2 linked regions of the Lepisosteus oculatus genome follow. The protein of the gene in region 1 binds, or shares a complex with, the protein of each later gene. Links are inferred from orthologs where the notes say so. Each region holds a gene or a part of one and is shown in the gene's direction. Other genes may lie near its edges.

The links.
Region 2: the proteins of protein downstream neighbor of son homolog (region 1) and gins4 are in contact, whole or in part, in a cryo-EM structure (PDB 8Q6O), measured with the Xenopus laevis proteins. The link is inferred for Lepisosteus oculatus from reciprocal best matches to the Homo sapiens genes DONSON and GINS4. Residues at the interface, in XP_041437004.1 of Xenopus laevis: Tyr8, Ser9, Pro10, Ser11, Phe12, Lys13, Pro15, Ser16, Ile18, Leu19, Ser22, Thr167, Arg168, Arg245, Arg469, Val471, Glu488, Thr490, Tyr518, Thr519; in NP_001084702.1 of Xenopus laevis: Leu19, Thr20, Pro21, Cys51, Glu54, Gln55, His58, Asn62, Arg65, Ala66, Lys67, Lys72, His76, Asn179, Leu181, Pro184, Thr186, Asp187, Glu188, Tyr192.

The regions. Positions count from the first base shown.
Region 1 is NC_090708.1:28,965,096-28,979,910, forward strand, and holds the start of protein downstream neighbor of son homolog, read left to right. Parts: upstream 1-7,889; 5' UTR 7,890-8,384; coding exon 8,385-8,801; intron 8,802-9,200; coding exon 9,201-9,284; intron 9,285-10,172; coding exon 10,173-10,376; intron 10,377-10,862; coding exon 10,863-11,041; intron 11,042-12,962; coding exon 12,963-13,141; intron 13,142-13,365; coding exon 13,366-13,495; intron 13,496-14,010; coding exon 14,011-14,127; intron 14,128-14,587; coding exon 14,588-14,786; intron 14,787-14,815. Other genes in the region: runx1 (runt-related transcription factor 1), read left to right, coding at 725-883, 2,382-2,893. UniProt on the Homo sapiens protein: Replisome component that maintains genome stability by protecting stalled or damaged replication forks.
Region 2 is NC_090697.1:62,991,837-63,007,520, reverse strand, and holds the start of gins4 (DNA replication complex GINS protein SLD5), read left to right. Parts: upstream 1-8,937; 5' UTR 8,938-9,577; coding exon 9,578-9,670; intron 9,671-10,685; coding exon 10,686-10,772; intron 10,773-12,842; coding exon 12,843-12,956; intron 12,957-15,270; coding exon 15,271-15,368; intron 15,369-15,684. Other genes in the region: gatd3l (ES1 protein, mitochondrial), read right to left, coding at 732-784, 2,479-2,595. UniProt on the Homo sapiens protein: Required for correct functioning of the GINS complex, a complex that plays an essential role in the initiation of DNA replication, and progression of DNA replication forks.

The DNA.
Region 1 (14,815 bases):
TGGGCCACCCCCCTCTCACCACATTCATCCTGTGTGTGAGGCCCACTCCTGATCAGAGCTCAGGGTTGGAGTCAGTGCAGAGAGGGAGAGGGCTGTAGGGTGTTGGCAACAGGCCCTTTTCTGAATTCACAAGGCTGGCTACAGTTAAAGGAGGCACATTCCCTGTATTTAATTTACTTCCTCTCTGATCTAGTCATTCAGACTGGAGTCTGCAGGCAATCATGGTGCAAAGCTTGTTAAGATGACAGGAAAGGGCACACTGCCTGCTCTCCACAGTCTCCATCATCCACATTGTGCAATTGTCGTGGCTGTGGTCACAGCTTTGATCCTAGGCACTGCGCTGCAACTGAGGGAGGTTTCTGTCACAGCATTGATCTGATGTCTTTATTTTTCACTTTGTCACCTTTCTTTGCATACCTGAGTCAGATTTACTGAAGCATGGAAAGCCATAGCTTAGGTATGGAAAAGAAGGAAAATAGGAAACCAGTTAAAATCATTATGGAAAAATTCACCTGGAGGAAAAACATGGAGATAATTATAAATCTTTTGCTGTTGATCTGTGAAATGTGCACAATAAATTATTATTCAAATTGAATTGAATGTGTATTGTCCATTCCAGGTCTAGAAAGGATACTGTATAGGCAGCGCCCCCATGTGGGAGCTGAGATATCATACTCAATTAGCAAAGTAACCTGACCTGTGACATTTTGTGTCCTGTTTCTAGACTCCAGGCAGATGCAGACATCACCCTCCTGGACCTATGAGCAGTCCTATCCCTACCTCGGTCAGATCTCCACCCCCTCCGTCCACCCAGCCACGCCTATCTCACCTGGACGGGCCAGCGGCATGTCAGCGCTCACTGACCTCTCCAGCCGGCTGTCAGGTGAGGACTGAACAAACTAATAGTTGTTAGAGACGGGGCAGAGGTCGAGAAGAGGACTAGGTACTGTATGAGGTTAGAGATTTTGTCTGAATTTATGGTTATTGTTATGATCAGCAGCACAGATACAGGTGAGAGCTGGGTATGAGATTAAAGATTAGAGATCTGTCTGAGTTTAGGATTAAGGTTATGATCAGGAGCGGAGCGGTGGCTCTATGGCTAAGGATCTGTGCCTGTGACTGGAAGGTTGCTGGTTCAAATCCCATGGCTGTCAGAGGAATCCTACTCCGTTGGGCCCCTGAGCAAGGCCCTTAACCCTAACTGCTCCAGGGGTGCTGTACAATGGCAGACCCTGTGCTCTGACCCCAAGCTTCTCTCCCTGTCTCTGTCTCTGTGTCTCCATGGAGAAAAAGCTGGGGTATGCGAAAAGACGCATTCCTAATGCAAGAAATTGTATAGGGCTAATAAAGAAACATTATAACATTATAGGAGCACAGGTGCAGAGGAGAGCTTCATTTGTGGTTAGAAATTTATCAGGGTTTAAGGTTAGAGGTGACAGCTACAGCAAATTTTGGACTGGGTAAGGAATAGATCTGGGGTAAGTGTTATGGAGTTAGTGTTAAAAAAGTGTTATGGCTAAACGTAAGGTTTAGAATTGTTCCTTCAAAGGATTTTTTATGAGGATGGAGGAAGATATAAAAGATATCTTGCTTTTAGATTTTGATCAGTAAATTTAGTTATGGCAGACATCTATCTTTAATCTATTTTTTTAATTGCATATGGAACAATTTGTCAGATATTCTGTATGATTGTATCCATTTTGCTTATTAATCTTCCAACTGGAAGTAGCTTATCCAACTGCAGGAGAAGTGGGTCTGATCTTTAACACTATTAGACTGTTTTTATTCCTGTACGGAAATTTGTCTTAATAGGTGCATACCCTAGATCTACCTATATGTGTTCTACACAACAAGGGTTAAAATTAAAGTACAGTTTCCTTCTTCTGAATCAACAGTGAGACTTGAATCATAAGACACTAGTGTAAACTAAAAGGAAATGTATTTAAAACTGAGAACAGGAGGCACTTCTTTACATTAAGTGTTGTGAGAATATGGAATAACCAGCCTACTCATGGTGTTGAAGCTGGTTTTCTGGCTTCTTTCATAAAGAGTCACACATCAGTTATCTACTAACTACTAAACAAGCTAGATGGGTTGAATGGTCTCCTCTTTTTGCAACTTTTCTGATGTTCTCATGTTTTGTGTTTTTATTGTGTACAGTTACAGTTAGGTTACTGTCACTTCTAAATTGTAAATCCAGATACATTTTTTTTTACCTACCACAATCCTATCCTTACTCTTCACCTTTTTACCCTGTTCATAGCCATAACCAAGGGCAAGGATTAGTACCATGTTTGGAATTTGGTCTGGAGTTTCTGTGTTTAAAGAAAGTGTGCAGTGTTGGTGCTGTATGGCCCCTGACCTCTGTTCTTTATCATTAGGTTCGGAGCTGACAGCATTCAGTGACCCCCGGGTGGGGCTGGAGCGCCAGTTCTCCTCGCTGCCTTCGCTGCCAGAGAGTCGCTTCCCTGACCCACGCATGCACTACCCTGGAGCATTTACCTACACCCCCACACCGGTCACCACCGCCATTGGCATCGGCATGCCAGCCATGACAGGCACCGCACGCTACCACACCTATCTGCCCCCACCGTACCCTGGGGGCTCCTCTCAGGGCCAGACTGGGGCCTTCCAGACCAGCTCGCCCCCCTACCACTTGTACTACAGCACCGCTGCCGGCTCATACCAGTTCTCCATGATGTCTGGGGGTGAACGTTCTCCTCCTCGCATCCTCCCTCCCTGCACCAATGCATCCACAGGCTCCGCCCTGCTAAATCCTTCCCTGCCCAATCAAAGTGAAGCAGTGGAGACAGAAGGAAGTCACAGCAGCTCCCCTACCAACATGGCCACTGGCGCAGGCCGTCTGGAAGAGGCTGTGTGGCGGCCATATTGATCCCTACACCCTCCTCATGCTCACTCCCAGACAGGGTTGGAGAACCTGTGGCCAAACACTTTGCACTTCCACTTGCTCACTGAATTTATTCTTTTTGTATCAAGAAGATTGTAAATAGTGAAGACTAGCAACAGGGGAACAATGTGGGAGGATGTAAAGGAGGAAAAACCAATGATTTGTTTTCTTCTTCTTGTTTTTGAATGTACTGCTGTTTTTTATAATTGTTCTTGTTATTCTTAATTATTATAACATCATTTGAAGTCTGCAAAGAAGAAAACACAGAAACTGTGAATGATGAACATGTGATAGACTGTGAAGAGACATTTTGGTGTGCAAGGGTACTGGTTTGCTTCTAGTGTCGCCAGCGCTGTCACTGCTCCTGAGTGCAGGAACCCCACAGAGGTGTCACACCACAAAAGCCCTTTCACATCGGGGCCAGGGAGAGACGTGAGTGAATGGTACAAATCGCGTGTGCATATAAAAAGATCTATTCAGTATCACATAGAAAATCAAACTGCAAACATTCTCTGTCTGGACAGTGTTCCAAAAACCCAACATGATTAATTTGTTTTTGGGATTCATCCATTCTTAGATGACAGCACAATGTAAAACAGAGCAGAGCAAGTGGGAATTTGTGAAAGATGTTCAATTTTGCATTAATATTTGATAATGTAACACATAACATATAGGAAATGGTGCAGTACGCAGTTGGGCTGGCAGTAGAGGGATATCGGTCCAGATTGGGCTCACCTTTACAAGTTCCAGAAAACCCAGTCTCAAAATTTTGTGTAAGCCTTATCTTTAAATGTCAGCATTTTCCAACTTTTAAGAATTTTTGGTTGACAGTCGGTAGTGAATTGTGGTATTTTGTGTTACTCAAAAAAAGAGATGGAAGATTGACTTCCTGAGTTATCAAGAAAGATTTTTTAAGGGGTTAAAGTAAAGGCTAGGCTTTATGCAGGGATTAGTGATAGCATTTGGGCTACAACTGGTCTTATGATCAGTATGGGATCTTGTTATGGCTATTGTAAGGGAAATGTGACAGGGCAGACAGGTATAGATTCCTGAAAAGGTTAGGAGCTTATTACTCTGAGGTCCACGAGCTGGACTCCTTGTTTGCATGGAGAGCCACTCTGGTACAGTACAACCAACTCTGAGAGCCATTGATGCCTTTAAGCCTTCTGTGTCATGGTAGAGGTTGCTGTATTGTGGGGAGAGAGCCTATTCCTACACAGGCTGCAGTGACTGATGGGTCTCACTCCAGCCCACCTTTCAATTATTGAATTCATTTAATTACAAGATGAAGTGCACAAAATAAAAGAACCATTTCCTCCCAGGTCTTAGTCAGTTGGTAATTAAATGATCCTTGTAAATGCTGCAGGAGACGCTTGTCTTTGTCTGAAGGACTGGTTAAGACCCTCTGTGTTTTCAGACTTCACTGTGACGCAATGAAAGTGGTACAGGGCAAGCCCAGGGCATGAGTGGTCAACAGCACACTGGCCACCTCTCCTTCCTGCTGGCTGCAGCTGTGAGAATATTCTCTCGCTGTGTCCCTCCTGCTGCCTGGCGTTTTATACACTCTGAGGCCAATGGGCTGAACTCACAGAAAGAACTCACTTTGTGTAAATAGTCCTTGATTGTAAATGAATGCCTGAAAAAGTCATTGAGGCTTTATGTTACTACACAACACTGTGCTTTTTCACTTCTGGAAATATTTTTTTATTGTTTTGTTGTATTTTTTAGTTTAATTTTATTTTATAAATATAAATACAGTTGTGTAGCTGGAACCATGCTCCTGTGTCCTTTGCCTTTCTTTTCTAACACTTGTTTGTCCATCTCTGTGTTTTGATTGCAAAGAGCAGGTCTCAGATCTTGGAGCATTTATGAAACACATTAAGAAGGCTACAAAAAAAGACAAGACCGTTCTAGCTAACATGTCCATTGAGTGGCTTTTGATCTGAAAAGATCATCAGGGATTCTTCCCAGGGGTATTGCTCTTCAGGGAATCCCAGGGGATCAGCTTCCTGGAGAACTTACATTATGACTTGGCAGCTTGGTTCACATGCCCATCACCCTTTGCACAGAGACCTTCACCCCCTCAGTCCTAGACACATATTTTCATGTAAATTCCACTTCTTCTTTAGCTAAGTATGAAGCAATCCATTGGGTTAACTTTACCAATGCCCTTCAGTATTCCGAATACTTTGTAGCAGGTCACCTTGTAATCCCCTCTATGTAGGACTGAAGATACATAAATCTTTCAAACTATCTGTCTATGCCTTTCCTTTTTGAACCGGGATTATTCTGGATCCTCTGCTTTGAACTCTTCTGTCTTTTCTGTCTTGGCCAGGTGTGATCAACACTACCTCTCCCTGTGCCTTTCTTACTGAGTGTGTCACCTTCACTCTGCACCCTCCTGCCTCCCTTACTGTCCTTCCCACTTTGTTGCTCTGCCTCTTCTTCCTCCTTTCCTGCCTCTGTCAACTTTCCCTCTCTCCCAGCAATGTCACTTTGCCTTGATGGAACAGGAACATGTGGGTTTCTGACTTAATGCCAATCTCTTCACCCCCAACCTCCTCCCACAAACTCCACAGCTATTCCTGAACTCCAGAGGAATTTTCAACACACAGCATGCTCGGCAAGCCCAGACCTGCTTTCTGCCCGCACCACCCTTCCCCAGGACGGAGGTGGAGTGACTGTTCCTGACAGGCAGATACAGCAGTGGGGACTAATCGTAATGTGCACTCTTACCAAGGATGAAGAAGAAGCATAGCCTTTAGGACTAAATCATAGTTTCCTCACATTCTAAATGTCTTTAAAACCCACAGGCTGCAATCCTTACTACTAAAAAAAGTTACAAATGAGAGGAGACCAACAGACCCATCTATCACACATTTTGTTCACAGGGTAAAAATAGGTGAGGGCAGCTTCGGTTGGCAGGGCCCTCAGAAAACAAAATCATCTGTGTCAAGGCCTGCGTGTTTTCCAGCTCCATACATCTGAGCCCAACCCAGCACAGCACAGACTTGTCAGGGTTAAACTCAACAGAAGCGACATGCCAACCTCACCTGACCACAGAGTCAGGCTGGAACTGAACCTCAAACTAGATTTAATGATGGCGAAACCACTGTGGCTGCTAACTGTGTGTCAGCTGCCTGAGCGAGAATGAGTGTGTGTAGGGGGTTGTGCGTATTGACAACTACAAAACAACAAGGGACTCTGGTCTACCCTCACATGTTCCAGTCAGGAAGTGCCAAGCACTTTGCTTCCCAACATATCTTCCATATGTTTAGCTGGGGGGCAGTTATTCAGATGTCCTCCTGTTATGCAATACTAACAGAACTGTTAGAGCTGGCATAAAGGATGTATAATTTACAATATCCTTAACCTGATACAAAAACACATAGGCAACCACACTCTGTCCCATCTGGAGCTGTGTGACACTAAGGTGAGCAGTGTGGAACTTTGCTCAGACATTGTGTTTACAAACAGGGTGTGAGAGTCTGCCACAAATCTGACTTCCATTCAACCAAAGCCATACTTTTCGTCTCTTTGTTAGCTAGATGTATGTTTGCCAAGAAAACGCAAGCATATTGGAAGCTGGCACTTTGTTGATGCCTGTTGACAGTAGGGGAAGCAGACGTGTAACTATACATAATCTGAATTACTTTGCCAGACTGTGTTTGAAAGAATATTTATACAAATACATTTTTAATTATGCAGTGCTTTTCTGCATCTAGATAGTATCTTTTTAATCTGCACTTTTGAACTTGTAAAATCCCTTTAAAAAATGGGAAGCAAAATTTGGCTGCACAGTGTAGCTCTATTCCCGAATACCCGGCCTGGCACAGCGATACTGCCTTTAACACTCCCTTGTTGTCTCAAAATCGGGTACTTCTCTACGGGTGAATGAACCGGTTTACTGAGTAACGCAATCTGTTGCATTGTACGGAGAAACTGCGTCATCTAGTGGACAAATTATGTCATGGCGTGTATATAACAATCGTATGCAGTCTTTCATGTAAAAAGATCGGAGGATTCCGGTAACAGAAATTAGAAGAACGTTTTCCCCGTTTTTCAGTTGAAATAGTATAAATAATACCCTGAACGTGGTGATTGTTTTAAAGTCATATGTCATGAAGCGCCTTGGGCCAAACTTGATGAGAAAGGCGCTATATAAAAATGCATTGAATTGAATTGAATATGTATTTTCTATTTTACACAGCTCTTCACGAGTGACAGTTAATTTGGGATCGATTTGTAAGGGTGGATTTAAAATATATTGTAAATGCCGTTACTCATACTAATTCTGTTACTTCTAGGAGTGCAATCAAGCTACTATCTGTAGCCCGATTTAATCATATTTCAGGAGCTAAGCAAAGCTGCCCCTTAAAAAAAGAGATGGGAGACCACCAAAGACATTAATGAGTGAAAATGTCTCTTAATAAAATTGTCAGCCAACGTAATAATATACATTCTTTCAGAATTTCCTAGAGGCCCTTAATTTTAGGAGTCCCCTCTCCTTCATAAAGCACTTTTAGGTCCTTTGGAATGAAAAGCATAACGCATTTAACGAATTTTATTTAATAAATAAAAGTACATAAACTGTACATGTACATGATTTTTGTTGCTGACAAGTATCTTTGATATATATTTTTAATTTGGCTGACAATTTTATAAATAGACATTTTCACTCATTCATATAACTGGATATTTTGTTAGAACAATTTGTTGAAGTATCTTGCCTAAAGTGACAACAGCAGTAACTCACTAGAAATGTGAACAACCTTCCAGATATGAACCCAAAATCCTAGTTGATTGATCAATCTATTCTATTTTGTCTGAATTAAAAACATACAATATATCCAGCTCCTGCCCGCTCACTACAATGTTGATAACTGGACGTACAGCACAAGCACATGTTAAGCTCGGGAGAGCGTACGTAGACATCTCGCTCTAGGACCTGCCCAGGAAATTACCGGGAGAGTGACGTCATTACGTCAGTGTACTGTGGCGTGCTTGTATTACGCGCGAAATTTGTCCTCACAGAGCAATAAGAGAAAATCAGATGGAGTGAAGAAGCATCGAAATAATACAGAGATTTGGAACTCTTACGTCATATAAAAAGAGGACGGAATTTATCATTGTTCGCGATAAAAGTTAGTTCTTAAAATGTTTTTGTATTCCTTATTTTAGGAGTACATTTTCTCGTAATTGGTGGTATGTGCTGTCTTTCATATAGAGAGGCGATCTGAAGGTTTGCGACTTGGCGGGGTTCAGTTGTTGGAAGTACAGAAACAGTAACAGGAAAAAAAAAACAGGAAATCTCAATTGCTCGTCACACCAGCTTTGCGCGGGTAAAGTACGCTTTAATTCGGGGTTGATTTGTAGTTTACAGACGGTGAAGACTTACATGCTTCACACCGAGGGAAGTTGGCGAAGCTGGATACCTTGTTTTAGAAAATAAACTGAAGTAGCATCGAAAGCGACCATGTCTGAACACGCAGGCTACTCTCCGAGCTTCAAGAGACCTGCAGACACTCTGCGGTTGCGGAGGCAGCGACAGCGCTCCCGCAGCGAAGTGTTGACCTCTGGCGGCTGCAGCTCCGGGGCCAGTCCGGGGGGTGCGCTTTCCGGGATCAGGCCCTTCTCTCCGGGACCCCTTCTGGGCTCCGCGGTGCGCACGGGTGGCCAAAAGCGCAGGAACCCCTTCGCTAGCATCGAGAACACGTACAACAGCCCGAAAAAGAGGGCTGTGGAGGACTGCCAGGGGGGGGACGGACCGGCGGGGTGCAAGCCCCCTGTGGAGGCCGAGGGAGAGAACGGTCCACAGGGACTGAGCGTCTTGGAACGCGGCCTCTGCACACGGCGTGTTCTTGCAGAGACGCACAGCCGAGAACCCTTCAAGGTAAGAAGTCCCTTTCTTAATGCAGTGTTACTAATACACTACACCAGCGTAATCACTTGTGTTTAGAATCGGTGATGTCTCACCCTGATGCGATTTTAAATAAGAAAAATTACATTATGCAAGTAAACCCAATGTTTAGAAATGAACATCTTTTCATATTTTCAAAATATGCTGCAGAGTTTATGAGTTTAGGTGGTGTAGTATAGGAATTTACATTGAGTGCAACAGTGCAAGTGATTAATAAAATGCACACTGGGAGAGTAGTAGGACAGTTGGCATGTCATGGCCTCTGAATGTCCACTCTTAGTGGCAGTTTCAAATGAGGGTGTTGCCTGCAGTCAGTGAAGGTGACATCTCTTTTGCACCTGATATGTAGCTGCTTTTTCTTTTAATTTCCAGGTGGAACTTTCTCTTCCAGAAGATGATTCCCTTTTGGAGAGAGAGCTGTTTTCAAAACAGACAGCTCGTCCTCACATTTACTTGGTCAGTATGTTTTTGTTTATGATGGTTTTGCTCCTAAGCAGGAGTGGTTAGTGTATTGCTGCCTCTCAGTGCAAATGCCCTGGGTTCAATTCTGGACCTGGGGTGTTATCTGTGTGGAGCTTGTATGTTCTTCTGTATTCATGTGAGTTTCCTCCCACAGTCCCAAAACATATTGGTAGGTTAATTGGCTAGTGGGAAAACTGGCCGTGGTGTGAGTGTGTGCCCACGATGGACCGGTGCCATCCAGGGTGTATCCTGCCTTGCACTTGTTGCATGCTAGGATAGGCTGCAGCTACCCTGAATTGTAAGATACGACTACAAGATCGTTGGGTTTTACTCCAGGGTATTTTGCCTTCCAAAGACTGTTGAAATGCATTTTGTAAAGTCTGTAGAAAGTAGTGTTGTTAGTGCTTTGGATTCTTAACCAGAAGCATTTCCTAACCTGTAGACATTGATGTTGCATGGAACAATTTGTTTCCCAAATTATTCCTGTCCCCCAGTACTGTATACATTAGTACCTCTGGTATAAGTACTAACGCTGTGATGGATTGGCATTTTTCATTCTCATTTTTCAATTCTTGTTCCGCTTTTGTTCCAGTTCCCTAAATGTAAAAAAGGAATTGGAATTGGTGAGAAAAGGGGTTTGGGATTGAAAACTGGAACTGATCCCTGTGCTCCCACGCTCAGGACAGCCATTTTCCCCCAGACCAGTTTAACTTCGGCAACCTGGGAGGAGCTCCAGCCTGATAAACCTCTGGGCTTGAGAAAGAAAATAGTAGAATCTTCTTGTTTGGCTTGATGTTTGCAACAGTCTAGTGTAAATGGGGGACATGGTGATCGCTCGCAGTTGTCTGTACAAATAACCTCACCGCATCCCCTCTCTCCCAGGACTCTGAGGTCCCAGCTGTGACCGCGGCCGCATCCGACACTCCCTGCACTCAGTTCCCTCCAGATTGGAGCCTCAAGACGCGTCTCCTCTTCACCTCCCCTCGCCCCTTTGCCTGGGCAGAGAACCTCAAAGCACAGGAGGAGGCCCAGGGATTGGTCCAGCATTGCCGTGCCACCCATGCCAACCTGCTGTCCCACAATCAGGTACAGAGGGTCCACACACCACAAATTTCATAACCTGCAACGTTGGGGGGGGGGGGACAGGAATTTCTTTTTCAATTTGAAGAGATTGGCTAAGAGTGACTTGTTTTTGATTGTAGGAGGTGGCAGTGTGGGTAGCTGTTGAGCAGTGGGTCAGTTGTTGATAATTTCTGTAGATGATAGAAGTGAGTGGTGATATTAATTGTCTGGGAGTGTTTAGTGTATCAGGAGGAGGGAACTCAATGCCTGGCATCCAAAACATCCCATTGAAAATTGCCCACTGTGCAGTAAACATCCAGTAAGTACGTTTACTCTGCAGTGCTGCACAATGCAGTAAAAACAATTTACAGAGCAGACAGTTGTTGCCCAGTTGTATATTGCCTGTGTTTTCTGCTTTGTAACTCCCCACTCAAGGGAAACTCGAGTACATTGAAGGGGTACCTACTTGTTTCACTAATGTTGACTCCATGTGTGTCTTGCTTTATTCAGGAACTGCAGAACAGCCCAGATTTGCGCTGTGCCTTCCAGCAGAGCCTGGTGTACTGGCAGCACCCTTCCCTGCCCTGGCTGCCCCTCTTCCCTCGGATTGGTGCTGAGCGCAAGCTGTCTGGGAAGAGCGCTCCCTGGGCCCAAGACGAAGCACTGCAGCAGAGCCTGATGAGTGAGTGGTGAGTGGCAATGACAGTCTGTCTGCTGGTTGCTTACTTTTTTCGGGCATTTATGTACATATTTTTATGGGTACCGTAACTGTGATTGTTAATTTGACTTAAGCCCTTTCCACAGTGACCAAAAAGCATTGCATTCTCTTACCTTAAATCAGTGGTTCTCAAACTGTGGTACGCGTACCGGCAGTGGTACGTGGAGTGCCGCCAGGTGGTACGCCAAATGACCCTGGAACTGTGTCGTGTGCGCTGAAAAATCAGGACGGGTTTTCATATTTTGTATTTTAATACGTGTCGAATATGCAGCCTACATACTACGATACAGTGCGTGCTAATACTTCAGTGGACACAAGAGATACTCTGTAGTTCTATACCACTCTATAGGAATGCGTGCTACGGATGCAAGTGACCAATTGTATTTAAAAAAAGCTACTGTATCTCCAGCAAATAGGGAGAAAGGAGAATGTGCATGATTTTGGAACAATGCCAACGTTGTAAACACAGGAATACATAGAAATACGTGCTACGAATGCAGGTAATCTTGTGAGCACACGAAAGCGTGATAACAGAAAAATATTTAAGAACTGTTCTAATTTGAGAAAAATACACCGAGCGTCTCTGTGTTTCGTTCCTATGCGCATCAAATAAAAACTTTAAATAAATACGGAAATAAAAACGGAAACGCTGAAAAATGCAAGCTTGCGGATTGCAAAACCAGGTAAGGTACACTATTTTTGAAGAACCTTATTTACTGTTGGCAAAAAATTCGACGCGTATTATGTGTAGAAAAAAAGCTGCTAAACAGCTTGACCTGCTGCCCCCCTCCCCCTGAAAGACACAGCCATTCATAGAATTATTGAAATGAAGGATTACATCAAAAGTACACTGATAGAGCGCGTTAAGATGAGCAGATGTTTTTCACTGCAATTAGATGAGTCTGTAGTCGATTTGGCCAATTTGCTTGTTTACGTTAGATACAAGTTTGAGGGTATGTCCCATGAAGACTTTCTGTTCTGTAAACCGCTACCAACAGGAACTACAGGAGAGCACATATTTCAGCTTCTGAATGAATTTATCGAAGAGAATGGCCTCGACTGGATAAAATGCATCTGAGTTTGTACAGACGGTGCTAGAGCAATGACAAGCCGACATAACGGTGTAGTTGCACGAATTAGAGAGGTTGCTCCAGAAATTAATGTACGCATTACAACATCCACCGCGAGACCTTTGCCGTCAAGAAAATGCCTGACGATTTAATATCTGTTAGACTCTGTTGTGAATTGTATCAAGGCTCGAAAAATTAATTCACATCTGCTTTGCTCAACTAAACAGGCTCACCCCTCTCACTGAAATGGTGCTTTTTTATTAGTTGTTGTTAATGTTTTTTTTCTGTAAAACACTTTGAGAAGCCACCTTTAAAGGGGCTATATCAAATAAAGTTTATTATTATAATATTTGTTATATGTATGTGTGAGTGTGTGTGCATGCGCGCTCATTTTGGTCATTGAGAATTTCTGGGGTTCCTATGAGATGATGACTTGTAGGTGGTACTTGGATGCTTTGGTTGGATTAGGGGTGGTACTTGGTCCAAAAAGTTTGAGAACCACTGCCTTAAATGATAGAGAGTGCTGCTGTTAAAGATGCCTTCTTGATAGGAAATCTCTGTGCCCTTGAGAGCTGGGAGCTTTGATAGGCTGTGCAGTGGAAAGCTCTAAGACTTAAACAAAAAGGCCAGTGCCAAACTAACCACCTAAGTTTTTTTTTAAATCTATTTCATGAAAATGTCCTTTTTTGTTTCCTTTTAAATTACATGATTTTCTGACTTGACACACAAAAGTGGCCTTGTCGCCCGGCCAGACTGATCATATTTTCTCAATGTTTGTAGAACGCATTCAAAGGCTGGTTCTCATCTGGTTCTCCATTTCAGGTGTGTGAGCGTCACGTCCTTGTACAGCCTGCTCCGGGCTCGGCTGTGTCCTTATTTCTACCTGTGCAGTTACCAATTCACTGTGCTGTTCAGAGCAGCCGGGCTCAGCGGCACACGCAGCATCACAGCGCTGCTGTCCCCCACCACGCTCGGGCTCCGTGAAGCCATGAGGAGCGAGGGTAAGTGTGCCAGTCTTGCCAGCTTCATTCTTCAAGGCTGCTGCATTCCATTCTTCGTTCCATGTGAAATCTTAGTTCATGGGTCTTGTAAGTAAATTGACCTATAAAAATGTGATTTCTGTCTCAAGGGCCAGCGAGGAGTAGTTTAGTTATTAAACTTTTTCACACTTGCATACCTGCACACCAGTGTGGTCTCTGACTTGCAGTTTTGAATCTGCCCCCAGGGATAGAATTCATGCTGCCCCTGGTGGAGGAGAAGAGAAAATGCAGGGGCCCTGGTTCCACTGGGCAGGAAGCTGAGCCAGAACCTGATGGTTCAGGAGCAGAGCCTGGAGAGGAAGAGCACAGTGCAGGGTGAGCATGGGACCTGGAGGCTGTTGACACTGTACTGCTTTTACTAAGCCCTTTTGTCTAAACCCCAAATAATTACCCCAGAGGTATAAGTCCATTTAAATGTTTGTACTTCGTAATTTCAGTTCCTAAAATTGTCTTCAGAGCTCTTTCTTATTACATGTGTATCTGTTAATTTAATATTTGAAACTTAGTAGTGCTGAGTGATATTTTGATGTGATTTGAGACAATTGAGAATATTCTCATTTACAATGATAATTTAAAGCCCATTTATAGAGCAGGCCATTTTATGGGAACAATGTTTGTGAGGTACCTTTCTCCAGGGTACAAGAGCACCTGGTCCTAACCACTTCTTCACTTATGCTGCTTGTTAAATCTATTTTTGATCATTTTCTATCATGAACTGACCTGTATATATCTAGGCCCCAGTTTTTAATGTTTTTTGTTTAAAAAGATCTGTGAGGGTTGCAAAATGTTTTAAGATTCCTGAATGAGGTCATATGATGGTGGTGTTGCAGGGCCCCTGAAGATAGTGGAGAAGATGTGGATGAAGATGACGATGGAGTATTCTCATGGCTGGAGGAGATGGGGGTCCAGGATAAGATAAAGAAACCTAATTCAGCCTTCATTAAGCTGTATCCTTTAGCTGTGCAATCACTGTCTCATTGTAGGGATGCTAAAAAAAGTTATGTTTTACTCTTTCAATTTTCCTCTTTTGCTGCCAGAGTGTTCTTGTGGAGCACTTCTCTTTAGGTAAGTGTTCCACAAGAAGCACTAGATTGAGGAAGGATCAAAGTGCTTAAGGTTTTACCTTTGAGTTGAGTAAAGAAATTTTAATGAAGGGCGTACCTCAGGAGGCCTGAGTCTGAATCCTTTTAACCTCCCAAAGAACATATGTTCCGGTGCTGACAGAAGTGAAAATGCCGTTCTCATTCATAGCTTTAGGAGCGAAGTTTAAAGTTAGAAAGGAATCTGCTTTCTGTGCAATTTCCCTGTAGTGCTGTGGCCAGGCAGACATGGACTATTACATTCTTGAGGTGGCACTGTGTGCTGTTTCGGACCTGTGCTGCTATGTTCCCTGACTTTCTGCTTCAGCCGAAAAGAGCACAGTGAGGCACGTCTGGACCACAAGCCTGAATCAGTGGTGCTGGTGGAGGGACCCAGCACCTTCATCCTGCTCAATTTCCTCATCAATTGCAAGAGTCTGACTGCAGTTGCGGGACCACAGGCTGGTCTGCCTCCCACCCTCTTGGCTCCTGTTGCTTTCAGAGGGGCCACCCTACGCACTCTTAAGGTGAGCCATTCTCCCTTCCCTGCTTATCT
Region 2 (15,684 bases), on another chromosome or scaffold:
TGCTATTGCCGATGGTTAATAATATCCTGCATTCTGCCTCCCATCCTTTTCACATCTGGCCTTGGTTTTGTGTTACTTCTTTGTGTTTTTGCTGTTCTATAGGCAATCAGCCCAAAAATACAAAGGCAAGGTTGAGTTTGTTGCTTCTATGGCAACTGGAACTTCAGAAAAAATCATTTTGTGCGTGTTTCCTGCTCCACAGACATCTGACATCTCTGACTGTAGACAAATGTTTTCGGAAGTAAAACTGTGGGGCTCTTCCTTCCTTATTTTTTTTAAGCTATGGTGCAAATCTGGAGTAAGTACCTATCCTCACAGTCCTGATACAAATACAAATACAAATTTGATTTAATCTATTTATCTTCATGCCAATTGGATCACAAAAGGCTGTACTGCACAGAATTAGAACACATCAATTAAGCATAACAATGCTGATGAGAAAGGCACAAGCCACTTATTTCACACAAAACATTAATTCACTTGTGATTTAGAAACTTGAGGTCCACAATTTCAGCATTTCTAATACTGATCCCATTAAGCACAGCTACAGAATGCACTAGGTCTAGCCATCTGAAGAATATAGCAATTACAAAATATTGTTTCTGGTATAAACCTAAGATGAATATATTGAGCAGTTCAGGAAAGTGTTATGTGTGCAATTATCCGATCAATGAAAGCACTTGCTGTTGCCCCTTAGTTTCCTAACACCTTATTTGTATTCATATACTCACTATGCTGCCTCATGAACGTCTGTGCCATCCCACCATCCACAGCCAGAGAACACCTGTGAGGACAGGGAACTGGGTCAGAGAGACATTCTGCCACCTACACACAGGTGCAGAGGGACGACTACAACGCATTGCGATAGGGGAACTTTGGATATACATACTGTATGGATTCAGTATATAATGTGTTCCTGTGGTCTAAATTCTCATTGTATTCTTTATTTTTACTGATCCAATCAAGTTAAGGTCCTCTGGATGAAACTGGACTAAAATTTCACAGAAATATCGATTTAAATGTTGCGTGAATCCAAACCAAAGATCCAAAATTATCTCTGGTTTCAAGGACCGGACTGCATCAATATAGAATAAAAATTAATAAATTATTAACACAGTTGCAATAGCTATTATTTGCAACACATAAAAATATCATCGAGATAGTATAGGATAGGGATAGATCAAAATAAAGTAGACGGATTATTTTGCTGCATTCATGTATTCTGGTTTTAAGATAGGTGTAAAAACATAGTCACCTAAATTGCAAGAATGAAGAACAACATGTAATAAGTGTTTACTAATGGATTAGTTTATCTACAGTATACAAAATGTGTACGTTGCAGGCAGACACTTTCTAGCAACCCACAAAATAATCCGATGAGCGATGTATTTTGGAGGCGATTTAAACGCGATTTAAAAGGTAATGACAGGATTAGCGAACAGGGAGACGGGTCTCCCCGGGGGTCTGCGGAATAACCTATTCCTATCTTCCCGCAGTAAAGCGGCCACATTTAACACAATTAGAGCATGTCTTTACACAAAGTTATAAAATAGTAAAATCGCGTCAAGAGCTTTAATTGCACATAAAAAGAGGACTTTACAATCTTTTTATCAATTACCCAAGTAAATGCTAATCTTTAAATTAGTTTTTTAAAACTCAGTACTAGATATAATAATTTTATGTGCCGTAGTTTATCCTATTCTTATTTCCAGATTTAGATTCTACATAGAGGAGCGTAAAATTTGTGGGCCACAATTCGTTCAAAGTGAGAACTTTACCAAAAATTCCAAAGTGGGTACTGAATTTTCTGAACTTTTTAGACGCCAAAGAAAGACACAAACTCAAATTTCCAAATATTTTTAAAATAAATGTATTCTGATTTAAAAATCAAATTAATCTGGAGCTAGTTCTTATGGGAGCTGAATACCAATAGCCTTGTCTTAAATTGAAAGGGCAGTTATCTCACACGGCCATGCTACGTATCAGCGTCTTTAAATCTTCATGAGCCTACATTCTATCGAAGGATTCTTCAAACGCGTTTGAAACTCAATCGACGATCAGAGTAAAATCTTTTCTTTATGTACTGAAATATACTTTTTCCTTCTTATACCTGACAGTGCTTTGACTATCGATTGATCCCTACTCATCCAGGGGAAATAACAAAGCTTTTCATTTATTTCTAACAGAAACAAATGCCTTTTTTCCCCTTGGTTTGCACTGGTTGGTTTACTCTTTGGGGAGCGAAGTTGTATTCAATTAACTGCAACTCTGCAAACACAGATTCCGTCTATACATTTTGTGCTTCATTACATTTTCCCAAAAACTTAACAATTACTTTTATTTTAACATTTTATCGGTAGGAAACTTTTGTTGGTTTCACCAGGGAACTTTGGTATTATAACCAAGGGGACTATAAATAAATGTCTTGCGCTTCCACACATTCAGAACACTTTACCCCTCAATGCCCCTACAACTTACCACTGCGACGTTGGTGTTGCCCCAGTTACCCCAGTCTCCTTGGTGAGCCAGGCACGCCGGCTGGCGGGTGAGGACAGCCGCTACCTGTTTCGCCAGCAGAGCTCTTGATGCCAACATGGTGTTCTTCCTTCACAGCCTGTGTTTAAAGACCTGGAGAAAAAACGAATTCAGACCAAGGAGCCTAGTCGAACCGTCCGTCCGTCAGCGGGGCGTGGAGCTGCCATGGAAGACAGCTTATATTCACCTTGCATCGTCTGACGTAACTTCTAAGCTTATTTCCTGAGGAGATCATTTAAACTTCTTGCTCTGAATCAACCTTTTCCTTTTCCAGTCACTATTCTAATTATACCTCGACGACATGAATCTCATTAAGGTTGCTTGATAATCTTCTAGCTCCCCTTTACACCCGATTAAACCCGCTGTAACCCAGTGTTTTTTGTTTCCGGTTTCAGTACCTGTGGACTCAAAGACCCAGCAGTCTCTTTCACTCTAAGAACCACCTTTAGTTATCCCTAGACCCTCAGGCTGTAAATTTGAAGAGTCATTTGTCAAGGAAGGTGAACCTATTACTATACTATTTTAATATTATGATTTCATTTTCAAAAGCCTTAGAATGGTGTAAATCAAAGATCATTTCTGATCTCAGGGCATGTTTGTACCCAGACAGACAGGGACCTAAATATCTTTGGTTTAGAAAAACGAGATTAAGAGCTTTGATTCACACATGTAAGATCTTAAGGATCAAAAATAGTGTTAAGCCAAGGGACTATTTCACATTCAGCAGAGAAATAAGAATCAAAGTTAGAAACTAGTTTAGGATAGACAATAGGAAGTATTTAATTACACACAGAGTTGCAGGTGTTTGAAACAGGCTTCTTGGACAGGTGCTTGAGGTTCAAGCTCTGGGCACTTTTAGAGAAATGGCTGAATGAACTTTTAGTTACACTAAGTTGCCAAAGTATCGGATGAGGCAGGTAGGCCTCAAGACAGGATCAAAGCTGGATGTGACAGCATTCCATCATAGGACACACACACGTGCATTCACATACTTTTGTTAGACATCTCACGATTTTGAGATGCCAATTAGCTGAAAATGTCTGTGCACTGTGGGTGGAAACCAGAAACAGCTCCCTTGCCATTAGGAGAGCATAAAAATTCCACACACAAGCCATATCAAGCTAGTATCAAACCCATGATATAAAAGTGCAATATAAAAGTTATTTTATTCTTAATGTCAGTATAATTCCTAAACACTGATAAATGAATGATACTTTACATATGAAAAGAAAGAGAAATAGTCTGAAACAGCAGTTCCAAGGTAGCAAAAACAAAGAAAGTGGTTGTGAAAGTGGAATTTCACTTAAGAACATCACTGGCTGTGAGACAGCTACAAAAAGGAATATTTTTGAAGTGATACACTTATTTTCTTTAAAGTATCCTAAGATTCTCTCAAAAGTTATTAGTTCAGATGTCTTCAAACCTTGGTCAAGGGTCACCAGTAAAATTGTACAGCCCACAAATGTCAAGAAAATGCACCCAGTAATGAACTGATTAATATTTATTGAAGAGTAATTCTTGTTTCTGCTGCTTTGAGCCAATTTTAGTTTAAGTACACATGCCATTCATCCATTATTACAGTTTCTGCTTTGCAGCTCACAGGGTTGCTGTGAGCTGGGGGTCTCATCCAGCAGAAAATGGGTAGGATACACTCTGAACAAGATTCCAGTTCATTTCAAGATTCACACACAAGTATGTGAAAACATACATACAATTGGGAAAAATAACAGATGACAATTCACTTGGTATTTCTTAGGAGGGTAGGAGAAAACCAAAACACCTGGAGAAAACCCAAACAAACTCTACTTAGAAGGTGCACAAGGCACCTTCTAAGAATTGAACCTTTCCACCTTAACAGTGAATCACTGTTGTGTGCTGACACCATTGCCAAGCTGCTGTTAGTAATGCCACAATTTTGAAAAGTAACATGCTGCAATGACATATACATTTTACTTAAGATTCCCATTGTGCAACACTTAAATCCTTTTCAGTCTTTGGAAGCTGCAAATTCAACTCAAAATTGTAAAGATGAAACAGAAAGAATAAATCAAATCTAAGTGTGGCGCAGTGGTAGCCTTGCAGCCCTGGGGCCTTGAGTTGAATTGTGGACCTGGGTGCTAGCTGTGTGATTATGTTCTCCCCTTGTTTGTGTGGATTTCCTCAAAAAGTCCAAAGACATACTGGCCCTGGTGTAATTGTGTGTATATTTGTGTCTGTGTATGGCCTGTGATGGACTGGCATCCCATTTAGGATGTATCTTGCCTTGCCCATGTGACTCTGTATTGCTCAAAGCAGTTAGGAAATGGATCAGTCTATTCCTATTTGTAATTAGTTGTAAGCTGTAAGCTAAAGCTTGATGCTTTACAAATACAATTTCTTCCTTAATTTCCACCTATATGGAAGGGTGATATATAAGTGTAGCATCTCAATCATTTCAGGAAATAAGAATACTTTTTTCATAGTTGTAAAATACACACATCCAATTACATGTCAAGTAAATAAGATAAATAATAAGCTTAAATTAATAATAAACATAGAATGTACCATAGTTTTGGGGATATTGTAATAGTAAGTTGATTAATAGTGAAACATGTAGTAGTACATACTGTAGTAGTATGGTAAAAGGGCCAAGAAGGGAAAATCTTTGATGTGTACTTCTCTGCAGTGTCTGTGGCTGATTGAGTAAATGTGTCCTTCTAAGCCTATTACCTCATAATGCTCTTAGATGGAGTAAGAGCTTTGCAATTAGAGTCTCTGAGATTGTCTCCTCACAGCCTAGGGCAGAAACCTCTTCAAATACAGAGATTTTTAAAGGTATTTGATGCTAGACTCGTTTTATGAAAGTGCTAGTCCACCAAGAGCTCGATACCTTTGGTAGTGTAAAAGTCTACAGTAACCACAAGTAACAATTGTGTGTACATATGAACAGGCATCCAATACTGATAATCTACAGTAGACAAGATCAATACCCTTAGAACTAGTGATCTTGGTTGTGTCATTATTTCTAAGAGGCATTTTTTTTCTAGAAACAAGTCACCTGATTCAATGACTTGTAAAAACTGTATAGATATTATGGATAACAGCCATTTATGACATTTCATGTTTTAGAATATTATATGTACTATAATGGAGCTAATTTTTCATGTGGGGGAAAAACTAAAATAAAGATGAATTTGTCCAATTGCTTGCTGACCAAATGCCACAGGAATAAAGTACTGTTAGGGCCAGTGTAATCATGTATTGTCAATATTATAAACATTCTTCAATCAGAAGTGAATGAAGAATCATTCTTCATGCAAAAATCCTAGGTATTTCTTGGAGTTCACTTGCTTTTTTTAGAAATTAATTTTAGTATTCTTGGGTTTACTCTCTTAAATTCTGTATTTCACTTTTAAAACTATATTCTTGCTGTCTTCTAAAGAACCAAAATCTGCTTTGTTGATTTTTTTTCACTATGTGATTTATTACATGGTTACTGTTTTGGTAATTTGACTCTAATGGTTTTATCATATATTAACTGTGACTTAATTAAACCTGTGCAGTGCATAGAGTTTCTAAATGTTGAAGCAGCTATAAATAGTGTTTGGTTTTGTATATTGGTAATATTGAGTTTTCTGTTTCTTAAATTTGTCATTTTTTACAGGGATGGGTAACCCGCCCATATCTAAACCCTCCTATTTTTTCCAGGATGAAGCAGAACCCAAGCCGAGTCATGAGCTGGATGTCACCTGGTTAAAGAGGGCATGAAAGATCTCTCATCACTTAGACCTGGAGCACTAGTGGAATCATTAGTTACCATTAGAAGCATGAAAGGAAAAACTGTTTGCCAATTGCATCAAGAAGAACTAAATACAATAATATTGTATGTTAAGTAAATAGACACATTCTTACTCATCATCTCCAAAACAAATCTTTTCCCCTGTGCTGTGGATTCACTTCAACTGAGAGGCAGACAGAAAAAGGTTTCTGTTATGTTACAAATATACTTTATTTTTATTCATACCAAGGACTGAGTTTAGAAAAAAGGCCAAACTAGTAAGCAGATGAATAACGGGCAATAATTAGTGATTAAAAGCCTCATTGGACGAAACACCAGAAGACACAGGGTGGCACTCCAATCAGATTTATCTCTCTGTGTCTTCTGGCTTTTCTCTTGACTGTTTCTAGAGCAGCAGTGCCTTTTTTACAAAATGGTGGCCACATTTCTACACAATATTCAGAATAAAATATGACTGGGGTATTATGCTTAGGAATGCATAATTGTGTATTTAAGAAGCTTTGTACTTTTTAAGGCAAAGTAACAGACTTCCCCTTGAGATCTCTGTCCAAGATACAGAGGGACAAATACAGAAGGTGAGCTTCCTTTTCTGGGATTTCTATCCTCTTGTTAATTATATCTGCTTTGCAAATAATTCTATATTCCAGCTTCTAAAAAAAAAACTTAGTTCTTCATGTTCAAATACACATTACCCACGTACCAGTGCAAAGTTATCCTCGGCACATCTTAGACTCAGAAAGCAGATTGCTGAGCTTCTACTGCCATAAAAGAATGAGTGGGAGTAATAGGTGCTTAACCTCAACCCTGCCGTCCCTGTGCTCAGAGGGACTAAGCTGCTCACAGAGATCGATCTTGGCTGTGTTACCTACATGGATATCAACTGCCTCAACCTTTAGATGAAACCTCCATTAATGGAATGAGGGCGTGAAGGATGAGCATTATCCTTTTAAAGGAAGATCTGAATCATATAGTTCTCAATTGCTGAGGGGAGAGGAGATAAGTATAAGAAGAGCTGAAGCCTGCTGTTTTAGTCCATTAAGTTGGATATCAATGATTTTATGTTAGAATTTGGAAGCTGGGGATGGTTTTGGATTGTCTGTTTTACTCCAAAGTAGAACTGAGCTTATAATGAATAGGGACTTCTTAAGGATCAGTGTACGATTTAATTCAGGCAGACTTCATAGCCAGTTCATCCTCTACAAAACTCTCTAAATTGGATAATTCATCCATGGCTTCTGGAATCTCATTAAAACATAAGAAAGGAAACAAACAATAGTAGGCAATTTGACTTTTCTAACTACTTAGAAATTGTTTAGTGTGTTCCTAATCCTCATAAGAAACTCATCTTTCTTGATGATCTTAAATGCTCAGCTTCAAAATGTTGGCTGAGTAATTTTGGTATTGCAGCCTGTTTCAGTCCTAAACGGATCTACTCTTAATTTCCTCTCATGAGCTGGTGTTCATTTTACATACTTCAACTTGAGGTAATCCCTTAAATTGATTTTGTCAAGGCCTTCAAGGATTGTGAATCCTTGAATTAAATCCTGTAAAATTCCCCTTTATTCAGAAAGACATTCAGTTCCTTTAACCTTGTCTGTATAAGACTTTAATTGAGACAAATGAACATTCTGGTTACTCTTCCGAACTTCTTGAACTCTTCCCAAGATATCAGTGGCACCTGTGTGTTGTGAGTGGTGTAATTGAACACAATGTTTCAGAGGTCGTATAAGAGTGCTGTACAGTATCCACATTCATTTGCTCATTTTAAATTTGTCATTTGTAATATTCCTCATTATCTTCATCACCATTTGTATGTTTTGATTCTTTATGTCCCTAAAGTATCATGCAAAAGGATCAATTAAAAACAGTAGTTTTACAGAACGGTTTACGTTGACTTCAATGTTAATACCCATTTTAAAAGGATGTATGCATGCATTTAAAATATATGAGGACTGCAGTTAATAATTAAAATGAATTTTAACCAATACCTCAAATACTACCAGAAACCTGATGCCTTCACAATGTTTTTTTCCCCTAAATTGTATACCAGGTTACTTACTTTTACTGTGCATTCCAGGTTTTACAATGGTGCTATGTGGTGTACTGCTCTTCAACTCAGAAATGACATGACTAATAATAGTTAGGTATGTAAGGAAGCTACACTAATTAATGTTTTTTTCTTTTAGAATTCTGGTAGAGTTGTTAAACTAGCAAACCCCTTCTTTGTATCCTTTTCCATGTTATTAGTAAATTGTAATCATTATAGTCTCGTGTACTAAAGAAGTGACTGCATATCAGATTAAAGTAAAACAGGTAAACAACTCCTAATTTTAAGTTTATCTATTGTAACGCGACGGGATCGGCGAGGATAGACACAGGGGATAGGCTCTTAACTGAGAACACAGCAGCCACAACAGAGTGAGAGAAAAAAAACATAAACAGGCTACAATACACTGGGGTCAATTCGGGTACAGTTACACAGGAGTGGTGATTGGGTACATGTGTATAAGGGGTGCAAAACCATGGAAATTACACGAGTCCGGGCAATCTCGCGACTACGTACACCTATTCAACAATTGGTCAGCTGCACTGGCCAGTGGCTCTCCTAATACCCGCCCTGGCCACTACTACTCCCGTCCTTCCCCTCGCCGTGCACCCCAACCGGGCGCTCTTCGGCTCCAAAGCCAGGCGAGGGCGCTACACTATCTAAATATCTTTGATATTTAATTTCGAATTATGTTTTAAACTTTCATTACATTTCGCTGGCATTCATAATCATAACATAATTTAATATAAGACCAAAGTCTCATTTGTTTTTTTTTCCACAACAAAGATGGCGGGAATGTCGGCTAACTTTCGTTTCGTGTCGCAGTGTAGTGACGTTTTGTCGAGGTGGCGCGAAATTTAGGACTAGCAGAGTAGCGTATACAAAAGTATCAGATGCATCTTGTTTATAAAGGCAGAAAAAATTTCAAAATTTTGAAGTTTTCAAACTAATTATTAGTGGAACATTTTGTTTATTAAATAAGTGTAACTTGAATGGTTTTATTGTTCTTCGGAGGCTTCGCAAAGATGGATTTATAAATACAGTACTCTAGCTGTTTCCTTTTTATTGTTATAAACGTTAATCTCTTCTAAATTTACAAGTGTTTATTCAGAATTGTTGATGTCTAGTATCGGACTTGTGTCGGTCATAAGGGCGAGATCCGAGAGCTGAAACATACTATTTGATATTCACCGCTGTCTGATCGCACTGTGTCTGTGATGTCCGACGTGCTGTCCGAAGCCAGCGAAGGGAGCGGAGATGACAGCCAGGAGCTGATGACCCCAGCAGAGCTAATCGAGAAGCTGGAAGAGGTCATTATGTATATATATATATATTTTTTATTTTAGTACCTCTGTCTTACCTGTAGAAGCATAGTGTCCGAAACACAAAAGCTATTTAAAAACAGTAACAAAAGTCCATTTTCGAGTCTAATGACAGTTTTGTGTATGCAGAAACGTAATTTTGATGTTTGATTTTTTTCACAATAGCCAAAAGGAAATAACGATCATTATATTCGTAGAAGCTTCGGCTAAACAAAAAAAAAACATTTTTTCAAGATCGTTATCGCAGTAATTCCATAATTTAACGAAGAAATTTAGTTTGATTATGTATCTGCTGTGCATGTTTTAATTTTGTTTAGGAGCTGTCATTACTACAGTATTTTTCTATAAGTGCTCACTCCTTTACATCAGTTTGTTGTAGTAAGTGACCTCTCTCTTGAAAAGTGCTTGAAAATTTATTTATTCATAAAAGCATCTGCTACACGTACTGTAGATAAATAACAACCTTTGACTTTCCATCTGAGATATATATATATAAACAAATTGAGTTTAAATTTAAATAATCCATTGTTCTCATTTTTCTCTACACAGTTAGCATTCAGTTTTATATTATAGGTGCTTGAGGTAGTGAGTGATCGTTCCATCTCCTTTGTAGTAAAGAATTAATTCTCCAGGGAAGTGTAAAGAAAATGTGTAGCTTTGCCTCACACCACCTTTACCACTGGCTTCTGCTATAGAAAGGAACATACTCATAAGCCGCAGCAGCTTGTCTCTCATCCATTAGAACTAGCTGAAGACTGTTGTCCATATTTTACTTTAGAAGAAAATCACAAATTCATCGTTGCATATTACATATTTGTGTTGATATTTGATCAAGTGTAAACTTTGTGCTTGTTTTGGTTTCGGTACGTGGCATGGTTAAAGGGTGCCTTTAATTTACTTAAATAGCCCAATTCATAAAGAGAATAAGAAGGAGAAGTAGTAAAGTATTCTGTTGTTTTCTCAACGGTAACTTCAGACCTTCTTGTGTGCTGTTCTTATGCAGGCCTGGCTGAATGAGAAGTTCTCCCCTGAGCTCCTGGAGAACAAGTCTGAGATTGTAGAGTGCGTAATGGAGCAACTCACTCACATGGTGAGGCTGTGTGCTTTGCATTCTGTTCTCTAACTCCTTGGGATTCCACTACAGTCTCCCAGTGAAACTGGAGATCATTGTACTGTATAATGTCGTCCATGTCATTGATGTTTTTCTTCATGAAAACCTCTGAACTCTTACTTTCAGAGTTCTTTTTTTGTTTCAGAATGTCAAGTTTTACATCTCACACATTCTAAAACTACCTGTGTCCTCTTGTTTGTGCTCTTTAGCTTGCAGGTTTTTTCTGTATGCAGTACCTCACCACACCCTTTTAATCTGCCTGTTTTCTTGAAGCTATGTGTATCCATTATATTCATCTCTGTCATCCTCCTCTCAGTATGATTCAGTTATTCCTATAATGTCATAAGTTTCCCATCAATACAGCGGCCTTGGGTTCTTGCACTTTGTTCTTTATGCCATAGCACTGAGGTATAAGCATGTAAAAATGCAGTTGAAGACAGATGTGGAGTTCGTTGTTAGTGTTGCTTAGGGCTTTTCTGATCGTACGAGAAAAATACCAGAACTGGCCTGATTTTAATCCCTCTGACCCACCTCCCTAGTGTAATTAGTCCTCAGTTACTCCACTGATATGCTTCTCTGATATATTTATACCCCTTTGTTTAAGAGTGATCCATCTTCTTTACGCAGGTCTGGTTTCTTCCTAAATGAGTGATGAGTATTATTATTAAACTTTATTTTATATAGCGCCTTTAAAGGTGGCTTCTGAAAGCGCTTTACAGAATGACAACAGCAACAACAATTAAAAATAATCAGTAGGAAGTAGATAGTGATACTAAATACTATAGGGGCAGAGGGGTAAAGAATGGAACCAGTTAAATAAAGGCTCTTCTAAACAAGGTTTTGAGCCTGGAGTTGAAGGAGTTTAGAGAAGGTGAGTCTCTGACATCCGTGGGGAGAGAGTTCCTGAGCTTAGGGGCATAACAAGAGAAGGCCCTGTCACCCATAGAGTGTAGACAGGCTTGGGGACAGTTAGGAGTCCAGAATTAGAGGAGTGAAGGTTGTGAGATGGGAGTAGGGCAATAATAGATCAGACAGTTACTGAGGTGCAAAGCCATGCAGAGCCTTATTGGTGAGCATGAGAAATTTAAAGTCCACAAAGAGTGCAAAGACTCCAGGATAGGAATAATGTGATCACTTGCACTAGGCTTGGTCAGGTTTCTGGCTATCAAATGTTGGACATACTGGAGTTTTTTCAATGTGGATTTAGATACTCCAGCGAGTAGAGCATCACAGGAGTCAATTCGGGAGAAGACAAATGTGTTGATCAGCTTTTCAACCACAGTTAGTGAAAACACAGGGCGTAGTCTAGTGATGTTTCTGAGGTGAAAGAAAGATGTTTTAACAATATGCTGTTAAGCCTTAATCAAATATCACCCTAAGGCTTTTCAATTTAGACTGAAGCTCAAGTACAGTACCATCCACAGATAGGGTTACAGGATTGGCTTTATAAAGTTGATGGGGATGCCAATAAGCATGACTTCAGTCTTGTCACAGTTAAGATGAAGGACATTTTGAGTCATCCAAGTTTTTATGTCTGAGATGCAATTAGAATAGAGACAGCCACATGAGTGTCAGGTTTGGTATAGATGTATATTTCAATATCATCAGCATTGAAATGATAGTTGAGGCCATGTGATCTTTAAAGCTGACCAAGTGGGAACATGTAAATGCTGAAAAGTAGGGGACCCAGTATCGAACCCTGTGGAACACCAGACTTAACGAGACCAAATTTCAGACCTTAATCTGCCAAGAGAGACAAGTGACGGTGATCAGTGAGGTAAGACTTAAACCATTTGAGAGCAGTGTCAGAAACTCCAAACACAGCCTCAAGGTGAGAAAGTAAGATGTCATGGTTAACAGTGTCTTGTGTTATGTAGCGTATGTTAAGGAGAGGTTTCTGCATGCTGCTTTCATGTAGTATTATCCCTCTCAGGGTCTATGTTGTGTATTGTGTACATGCTGTGCAGTTCATTGTTTGGTGTATTATGTTGCTGTGCTCTGTGTTGTAGTCTCAGTGTTACATGTTTCCGGTCCATTTCTGTGGCTCAGGAGGAGAACTTGCAGCGGGTGAAGAAGGGTGATCTAAAGGCCAGCATACACCGCATGGAAATCGACAGGATCCGCTACGTCCTGAGCAGCTACCTTCGCTCACGTCTTCAGAAGGTCAGGGTGACTGCTGTAGATCAGTAATGTAATAAGCTGTAGTACTACAAATGATCTTCATCAGGATTAGTAGTAGTAGTTGTCTTTCCAGAGCTCCATTGTATGTCCATCTTATTTTCTGAAAAGTTTGGTGTTAAAAAAAACTTTCTGCAAAAGTAGCAAGAGAAGATACTAGACTTTTACCGTTCCAGTGATTTGCAGAATATGGAGAGCAGGTTTGACACTGAACTTAGTTAGATGTGTTGCTGTTCTTAGAGTATTATCGAAAAAATGTTGTTTTCATTCTCTCTTGCTTTTCTTCTTGTTTCTTTCTTTAGTTTTTTTTCTTTAGCATTCAAACTCAATGTAGGACATCTTCACATATCTTCCTTTGTGAGAACACAGCTTTTTGACTTGTCTGTCTGGTTTGCACGAATATCTGCGGTGTCACAGACTATAGGAAATGTCTGGTCTTTACATATGTCTGGAATTTAACAAAAAATCCAAACCGAAGATAATGACCTACTCCTACCTGTCTTTTCACTTCCTTTCTTTTTATTTGAAAGTGCTTTGATTACACATGTACAGTAGAATGTGCTAGATCTGTTCACATGGCTTACTTACCGAACGTGGCCTTACAAATTGCTCATGCAAGATCAAATTAATACCATCCTGAATATAAAACTTATTAAAATGGTTTTATATGTAATTATTTATCGCTGCCTCAAATTTTTACTTTATCACCACTTCATCTTTAGTGAGATATGCCTAAATTTCAAAGGCGACAGTAACAAAAAATTAAGCATTATTTTAAGTACAGTAAGTTAGAGGAGTAACTTAAACACTAAACCCCTTGCTGTTCATGGGGATTATGTTCTTGAAAATTCCTGTTTAAAGGAAATCCAAGAAATGCAAAGTTAGTGCTAATTGGCCACCCCTCTTTGTCATTTATATATACAGTAATTATTCCATTTATTCAAAATTTAAGATCAAGTAATAGAGAACAAGATAATAAAGCAAAAAATCTAAAATTATATACTGTTAATGTGTTGATGGTTTGTGTTGCAGAAATTCTTGCACTTTTTATGTCTTCTCTCTTTTAATGTCCCTTATTGTTGGTACTGTATGTTGGTTCTTTACTGGCATATAACAAAAGCAAAACTCCCCTCTTGGTGACCTATCTAATAATTCCATGTCTGTAAGAGACATTACTTTTCTTTGCCTCTTATTAACCAGGCTCACTAGTAATTGCAGTTTGTTTAGATGGTATTGATGCATACCATGTTGTAAATAAAAACACAAAAAATAAATATACAATACTATAAGAATGATCCAATTTGAGAACAGTGCTGAAAAATCTGAGTGCATATGTGCAGAAATTTAGCATGTGTACAGTACAGTCTGTAAGTGTAAAAAGTGGAAAATGGCTGCATTACAGGCCTGGCAGAGCATCACCAGGGAAGATACTCAGCGTTTGGTGATGTCTATGGGTCGCAGACTTCAGGCAGTCATCAATTGCAAAGGATTTGCAACCAAGTACTAAATATGACAGTTTTATTAAGATTACGTTAATGTGTCCAATTACTTTTGGTCCTCTAAAATGGGGGGACTATGTATAAAAAGGTCTGTGATACCTATATGGTTCACCCAATATAGACGTAAATACCCTCGAATTAAAGCTGACATTCTGCACTTTAACCTCATAGTCATTGTTTCATTTCAAATCCAATGTGCTGGAGTACAGAGCCAAAAAAATTGTGTCACTTCCCAAATACTTACGGACTGCACTGTATATTGGTGCTAAATATTAATTACATCATTCCACGTTATGCAAACCACTCTGACCACTGCATTGGTGTGGACTCAAAACACTGCGATTAAGAGAATCATCGAAGGAGAAACCAGCAAATAGCCAGGGTCTGCTCCACTGAATCTATGTTAAAAAACGAATAGAAGTTGCTTTAAGTAATTAAAATTAGAGTAACTTTTTTCAGCAAAGAGTCACAGATTTTGGGGACAACCTGTGCAGCCACATAGTTGAAACTGATTTTCTAACAGCCAAACAAGAAATATGTCCGGTGTAAAGTAAACCAATTATAAGTTGAGTGGTATGGTAAATAAACCGGCATTTGGAGGTTCAGAATTCTGTAGTGGAATCTTTGTCAGGTCTAGAAGTCTATGAGAATACAATTTTATTCTCAGATTGATCTAATTTGTTTGTATTCCCACTATAACAACTTCTTATTTGTGATAAAGATGATAAAGTGAGCTGTGGTTTGTTACTTGAGGCAAACTCGTCACACAGCTGAGTCTTGGTTTCCTGTTGCTGTTCCAGATTGAGAAGTATTTTCCACATGTCTTGAAGAAGGAGAAGTCTCGGGCAGATGGTGACCCATCCTATTTATCCCCAGAGGAATTTGCCTTTGCTAAAGAGTGAGTCCTAATTGAAGGCCACAACAGTATCTCCTCTAGTTGATAAGTTTGTCTACGTAACTGCTTGTCTAGCCACCAGAACTGTATAAATGTATGCAAAATGTCACAGATTAAGCAATATTGTTTTAAATAAATACTTGGTAATACTTTAATACTTATAATAGAGCATCTCTCAGCTGTTTTGTAATGGAAAATCCAGTTAGTACATACATATTTGAATAATAAGGGAGAGAATGTTAACCTCTAAAATGTTAAAGAACAAGCCCAGACAGCATAGTTACACATTAGTTTTCCTTCAGTGTATACTGTACATGTA